Linked DNA regions of Macaca mulatta. The protein of the gene in region 1 interacts with the protein of each later gene in a pairwise test. Links are inferred from orthologs where the notes say so. Each region holds a gene or a part of one and is shown in the gene's direction. Other genes may lie near its edges.

What was found.
Region 2: the proteins of CHD3 (region 1) and SERBP1 interact in binary tests that used the Homo sapiens proteins (3 or more experiments, as listed by UniProt). The link is inferred for Macaca mulatta from reciprocal best matches to the Homo sapiens genes CHD3 and SERBP1.

What each region holds. Positions count from the first base shown.
Region 1 is NC_133421.1:9,402,184-9,406,000, forward strand, and holds part of CHD3 (chromodomain-helicase-DNA-binding protein 3), read left to right. Parts: intron 1-48; coding exon 49-282; intron 283-470; coding exon 471-674; intron 675-2,209; coding exon 2,210-2,421; intron 2,422-3,085; coding exon 3,086-3,217; intron 3,218-3,610; coding exon 3,611-3,710; intron 3,711-3,817.
Region 2 is NC_133406.1:173,192,572-173,196,388, forward strand, and holds part of SERBP1 (SERPINE1 mRNA-binding protein 1), read left to right. Parts: intron 1-1,635; coding exon 1,636-1,809; intron 1,810-3,817. UniProt on the Homo sapiens protein: Ribosome-binding protein that promotes ribosome hibernation, a process during which ribosomes are stabilized in an inactive state and preserved from proteasomal degradation.

The sequences.
Region 1 (3,817 bases):
TTCCTTAACTTCTGCCATCTGTCTGTGTGTCTGTCCTTGGCCCCCTAGGAGAAGGAGGGGGTCCAGTGGGAGGCCAAAGAGGAAGAGGAGGAATACGAAGAGGAGGGAGAGGAGGAAGGGGAGAAGGAGGAGGAGGATGATCACATGGAGTACTGCCGCGTGTGCAAGGACGGCGGGGAGCTGCTGTGCTGTGACGCGTGCATCTCTTCCTACCACATTCATTGTCTAAACCCTCCCCTGCCTGACATTCCCAATGGTGAATGGCTGTGTCCCCGATGCACAGTGAGTGGAAACATCTCCCCTCTGTATTTACTGTCGGGCCTGATCCCTTCCCCCATCCCTGGGGCCCACATGTCCAGCTTTTCCTTTCTCTGCACTCCCCCACTCTGTGGGACCCCTATCCTGTCATCTAACGATGGGTTCTGTCTGCCTCTTTTTTTTCCTTCTCCTTGTACATGTCCATCCCAAAGTGCCCTGTGCTGAAGGGTCGAGTGCAGAAGATCTTGCATTGGCGGTGGGGGGAGCCGCCTGTAGCAATGCCAGCCCCTCAACAGGCAGACGGGAATCCAGATGTCCCAGCCCCGCGTCCTCTTCAAGGCAGATCAGAGCGAGAGTTCTTTGTCAAGTGGGTGGGACTATCCTACTGGCACTGCTCCTGGGCCAAGGAGCTTCAGGTACTAGGACCTTTGCTTTTCCTCTCCCCCATGACCTCATTTCCTGCCATCCTCTCCCTCTCTTACTCCTCTGTTTGCTGGGTTCCCATACCCTTCATTTTCTCTCGTTTCAGGCCTCTGGCCTTTATACCCTACTTGCTTAGTTTCCATCTGTGGTTCTTTTGGTCTACAGTCCTCTTTCTCTCAGTCTCCATTAGCTTTCTTCCCTCAGATATAGCATAGCCTTTCTTAACTTCACGTCCTTCCTTATCTATCTTTTTCCATGTTTTATAATATTCCTGGCTGGGCATAGTGGCTCACACCTATAATCTTAGCACTTTGGGAGGCCAGGGGAGGATGATTGCTTGAGACCAGCCTAGGCAACATAGTGAAACCCTATCTCTATTTAAAAAAAAAAAATTATCGGCTGGGTGCGGTGGCTCACGCCTATAATCCCAGCACTTTGGGAGGCCGAGGGAGGCGGATCACCTGAAGTCAGGAGATCGAGACCGTCCTGGCTAACACAGTGAAACCCCGTCTCTACTAAAAACACAAAACATTTAGCCAGGCATGGTGGTGGGCGCCTGTAATCCCAGCTACTCGGGAGGCTGAGGCAGGAGAATGGTGTGAACCCGGGAGGCGGAGCTTGCAGTGAGCCAAGATCGTGCCCCTGCACTTCAGCCTGGGCTACAGGGCGAGACTCCATCTCAAAAAAAAAAAATCTCAATGTTTATAACCCCATTCCCTATCTCCTTTTGCTTATAACAGCCCCACCCAGGCGGTGTCTTCTGAAACTGTTGCATCTGTTTCATTTTATTTATTCTCCTGTTTTGACTTTGACTCATTTGTCTCTAATCCATCCTTTTTCTTCCTTTCTTTTTTCTTTTCTTTTTTTTTGAGATGGAGTTTTGCTCTTGTTGCCCAGGCTGGAGTGCAGTGGCACGATCTTGGCTCACTGCAACCTCTGCCTCCCGGGTTCAAGCGATTCTCCTGCCTCAGCCTCCCAAGTAGCTGGGATTACAGGCGCCCGCCACCACGCCCGGCTAATTTTGTATTTTTAGTAGAGATGGGGTTTCTCCACGTTGATCAGGCTGATCTCGAACTCCCAGCCTCAGGTGATCCACCTGCCTCAACCTTCCAAAGTGCTGGGACGCGCCTGTTATTCTCTTATTGCCCAGGCTGGAGTGCAGTGGCGTGACCTTGGCTCACTACAGCCTCCACCTCATGGGTTCAAGAGATTCTCCTGCCTCAGCCTCCTGAATATCTGGGATTACAGGCATGTGCCACCACACCTGGCTAATTTATGTATTTTTAGTAGAGATAGGGTTTCTCCATGTTGACCAGGCTGGTCTTGAACTCCTGACTTCAGGTGATCCGCACCCCTGAGCCTCCCAAAGTGCTGGGATTACAGGCATGAACCACCGCGCCCAGCCAATCTATCCTTTTTCATAGCTCTCTTTCCCTGTCCCATTCCTCCTGCTGGCCTCTTCCCCGTTCCCTGTTGTCCTCTGTGAGTGTCAGGCCTGTCTCTTCCTCGTTTTTCTGTGCCCTATCAGCTGGAAATCTTCCATTTGGTTATGTACCGAAACTACCAGCGGAAGAATGACATGGATGAGCCCCCGCCCCTGGACTATGGCTCCGGCGAGGATGATGGGAAGAGTGACAAGCGTAAAGTGAAAGACCCACACTATGCTGAGATGGAGGAGAAGTACTATCGTTTTGGCATCAAGCCAGAGTGGATGACTGTCCACCGTATCATCAACCACAGGTGAATCCTTGGCCCTGGGAAGTAAGACCTGGTATATGACACTATTCTTACCATGGTGATAGCCTCATGTTAGTATTTGCTGATTAACCAGGTAATTGATCTAACCTTGATAACCTCTGCTGTAGCTTCAGCCTTTCTGGCCTTGTTTCCTCCAGGGGAATGGGAGAAAACAGGAGGAAAGTTCGGCCAGGCAGTGCCTCTTTTGTCATCTCCAGTGGCATAAGACATAGCACATGAGTCTGGGGATGAGGGCATGAAAGCAAAACATGAGAGACATAATTCATCCAGACCAGTGTTCTGAATATTTCTTCTTCATGGTACTTATTACTGCCTAAAGTTACGGTATTTATTTAGTTATTTCAATGCTGTCTTCCCCATGAGACTCTGAGGTCCATGAGGAAAATACTTAGTGATTAGGTGAACAAATGATATAAGGAGGGATCTCCAGGAATGTTTTGTGATAGTTGATTTTTAGGATACCATCCTGAGAAGGTTAGGCTGCCAGGTTAACTATTCTCACGTCCCTTCCAGCGCCCACTGTTGAAGGTTGGGTGACAAATTTTGTGTGTTTGCTGATAATTGCGTTTCTCAGGCCTTCTTGCTGTTTGTGATCTATGCAATTTTTGTTTCCTCCTGCTCCTCCTTATGGCCTCCTGCCCCACAGTGTGGATAAAAAGGGGAATTACCACTATCTAGTAAAATGGAGGGACTTGCCATATGACCAGTCCACGTGGGAGGAAGATGAAATGAATATCCCTGAATATGAAGAACATAAGCAAAGCTACTGGAGACACCGGTGAGGGAACGAGCCTGTGGATTTGAGGGATTCTGAGGATGAGGGCCTGAAAGCTAAAACTCCAGCATAAAATGAGGGTATAGAAGGGACTGATTCAACCTGGAGTTCAGGGCAATGGCCACCTGGGCTGGGTGGTTTGAGATGGGCTTGCTAAAGAGGTAGTGTAAGGAACAGAAACAAGATCTGGCTGAGTAGTGGAGAAGAGAATGTTCAAGAGTGGGGAGGGCTGGTTCTTGAGGTGAAATCCAAAGGGCAAGGGTAAAAAGCCTGGGAAAAAGGAAATATGGGAAAATCTAGGTCATGGACAGTGGGAAGTAGGTCTGGAATGGGTTCAGAAAAGAAAGCGTAGGACTCCCAAAGATGAGGCCTCATTCAGAGCCACTCTTTTTCCAGAGAACTAATTATGGGGGAAGACCCTGCCCAGCCCCGGAAGTATAAGAAGAAGAAGAAGGAGCTACAGGGTGATGGGCCTCCCAGTTCTCCCACTAATGATGTGAGTCCTCTCAGTTGGCATTTCTTGTTTCTGGAGCCATGGTGATCGAAGATTTCCCAAGGGCTATTGATGGAACTTCCCAGAGATTCAGTAACCTCTGTGAACAG
Region 2 (3,817 bases), on another chromosome or scaffold:
AGTTTCAGCCACTGCCCTTGGCCTTACTTTTTATTGTTATATGGTTGGTTGGTTTTATTTTCTTCTGAATATTTTTGATAGGTGGTTTGCAATTAATTGAAAGCATTGGTTTGAAAGAGCAAACATTTAAAAATCACACAATTAGTGTATATAATTCATCTTAATTTGCTGGTGTTTTTGTGAATTTGTTTTTATGTTTCTAGGCTCCTTTAAAATTCGTATTAGAGCCTTCTATTGCCTTACATTGTGTTAGTGTGGGTACAAAGGATTGACCTTTAATGCTAGTATGAGTTGATGTAAGGGATGAAAACACAAAAATTTATTTGTACTTTAAAGGCTAGTTATTAACAGTTGTAATATTTTAAGTTGAATCTAATGGAATTGTAATAGTACAAGTTCTAATGAAAGAAGAAAATGTTCTTTATTCCTGTAGAAAAGAGGATTTCTTACATGTATTTAGAAAAAGAAAGCTGTACTTTAAAGTCCCATAGGCACAGTTTTCAACTAGAAGATTAAAACCCATCCCAAGCATGGAAGAAGACATCAGGCATGGAGCAGTGTAGAACTGTCTGGCTTTTTGCTTTTTTCCTCCCAGACTGGGTCATGTATCTTAAACACAAATAGAAAGGATCTGGATTTCACAAACATGACTTCATTTTTAAGAAGTTTCTAGCTGGGCGTGGTGGCTCATGCCGGTAGTCCCAGCACTTTGGAGGGCCAACACCAGCGGATCGCTCGAGCCCAGGAGTTTGAGACCAGCCTGAGCAACACTGCGAAAACCTGTCTATAAAAAAATACAAAAAAATTAGCCAGACATCGTGGCATGTGCCTGTAGTCCCAGCTACTTGGGAGGCTGAGGTGGGAGGATCACTTGAGCCTGGGAGGTGGAGGTTGCAATGAACCCAGATTGCGCCACTGCACTCCAGCCTGGTGACAGAGTGAGACCCTGTCTCAAAAAAAAAAAAAAGATTCCTGTGACACATTTAAGCTGTGGATTTATTTGTGCATAGCTTTACAAGATTCCCCTTATGTAAAGTGTGTAGTGTTTCACTTGAATTTGTAGCTCTCCATATTTGTGTGGAAAAACATAATGGTTGTATATTAACAGAAGATGCTTCTGAAAAGTTTGTATGGAATAAGGTCATTACCCTAGTTATAGTTGAAAGAGTGTAGAACAGAGGTTTTCTTTTTAACTTGCGTGTTCTTTTTAACTTCAGTGATAGTAGTAGCCTTATATGTCACCTCTCCAGAGGTCTTCATCAAGGATTCACATTGGAGTCCTGATCTGAAGGGCGTATTTAAAATGTACTTGTCCAGATTTCACTGCTAAAGATTATGATTCAGTAGGTCTGGGATGGGCCACAATCATTTGGGTTGATTGTGATAGCATATATGTCTTTAGTTGAGGACCACTGATATTACCTGCAATTTTGAGATAGAGAAAAGTGAAGGAAATTATTCCTCCAAGATCACTATAGCTGAGCCCTAGCTTGTTACCTGTGGAGACATTCAGACATTTGTTCACAGAAAGTACAGTTTGGATTTTTGGTCTTTTTAGAAGAAAGCTCATTATTTAGAAATTTTGCGACGTTACTTTTCTACTAATAACCCAGTCATCTTCACTTATGTTTTTAGGCTCATGCTGAAGATTCGGTTATGGACCATCATTTCCGGAAGCCAGCAAATGATATAACGTCTCAGCTGGAGATCAATTTTGGAGACCTTGGCCGCCCAGGACGTGGTGGCAGGGGAGGACGAGGTGGACGTGGGCGTGGTGGGCGCCCAAACCGTGGCAGCAGGACTGACAAGGTAATTTAAGACTTTGTTTTCCTTTTATGTAATTTAAGGACCTCTTAGAAGTCACTGGCTGGGTCCTTCTGGGAACATAAGAAGTAGAAGTAGTAGCAGTGTCTTTAAGAAACCACGTGTTGGCCGGGCGCGGTGGCTCAAGCCTGTAATCCCAGCACTTTGGGAGGCCGAGACGGGCGGATCACGAGGTCAGGAGATTGAGACCATCCTGGCTAACATGGTGAAACCCCGTCTCTACTGAAAAATACAAAAAACTAGTCGGGCGAGGTGGCGGGTGCCTGTAGTCCCAGCTACTCGGGGAGGCTGAGGCAGGAGAATGGCGTAAACCCGGGAGGCGGAGCTTGCAGTGAGCTGAGATCTGGCCACTGCATTCCAGCCTGGGCGACAGCACGAGACTCCGTCTCAAAAAAAAAGAAACCACGTGTTAGGTTATATTTTTGTTTAAAGCACTTAAATGTCTTTTTTGGAGTGCTGTAAGTAGTGTTAAGTTACCACCTTTTGAATTAGGTGCTGGTCATGGTGCTGGGCTAGGCATTTTATGTACTTAATGTCATTTAATTCTTGTTAACTATGATGACATTCTCATTTTCCAGACAAGAAAATCTGGTGTAGTGAATCAGGTTAACTCTTGACCTTTGCTAAGGCTTACCTGAAAAGCAATCTGTTCGCTTTGATAATTCCTAACTGCTTTTTAAGTCTCTGCTTAATAACCATCGTGTTCCTTGTATAATTCCTCTTGTGACACTCATGATTGTTGATGCTTTTTTCTTTTACTAGACTCTTCTGAGAGAGCTGGGATTCATTTTTGTCTTACTTTACTTTCTATAATCCCTCCGATGCCTTGAACAGTATATGGAACAAAACAAGTTCTTAGAGAAATATTTTGATGAATCCCAAGTAATTGATAGATATGAACTCGGATCTGATGCTTGGAAGCAACCATAATGTCCTCCTAAATTCTCAACATCTTACAAATTTGGGGACCCACCTGCTTGATTGAGTCTATTTTTGATTATTATAAGGGTAACTTATCACTGCCAGTGTAATGATACTTTGTTCCTCCAAGACCAATCTTTTTTTTTTTTTTTTTTAAGGCGGCGGTTGTGTTTATGGGCTTTTCCCATACTTTTTTTTTTAGTTCTGTTATTTATACTTTAGGCTATAAAGAGCAATTTGGACTCCTTTTTTTGGACTTTTTTTTTTTTGAGATGGAGTCGCTCTGTCGCCCAGGCTGGATTGCAGTGGCGGAATCTCAGCTCACTGCAAGCTCCGCCTCCCGGGTTCACGGCATTCTCCTGCCTCAACCTCCCGAGTAGCTGGAACTACAGGCGCCTGCCACCTCGCCCGGCTAGTTTTTTTTTGTATTTTTTAGTAGAGACGGGGTTTCACCGTGTTAGCCAGGATGGTCTCGATCTCCTGACCTCGTGATCCACCCGTCTCGGCCTCCCAAAGTGCTGGGATTACAGGCTTGAGCCACCACGCCTGGCCCTGTTTTTGGACTTTTAACCTTGTTGATTATTGCTACTTAAATATTCGTTTCTTAGCATGCTTTCACATTGATGCCATTCTTATTTAGCAAGTGGAAAAAGTATAAGAATTCTGAACAACAATGCAAATTCATATACATAATTGCTTGTGAATCTATTCGTATGGTTTACTGGAAAAAACAAAACAACTGGGCTGGGCACATTGGCTCATGCCTGTAATCCCAGTACTTTGGGAGGCCTGGGTGAACAGATCACCTGAGGTTGGGAATTTGAGACCAGCCTGGCCAACATTGTGAAACCCTGTCTCATTAGCCAGGTATGGTGGCACAGCCCTGTAACCAGCTACTTGGGAGGCTGAGGCACAAGAATCCCCTGAACCCAGGAGGCGGAGGTTGCAGTGAACTGAGATCATGCTACTGCACTCCAGCTTGGGCAACAGAATGTAAGACTGTCTCCAAAAAAAAAAGAGAAAAAGAAAACAACCCATACTATTACTCTGGAATAAAAGTAGGTCTTGATAG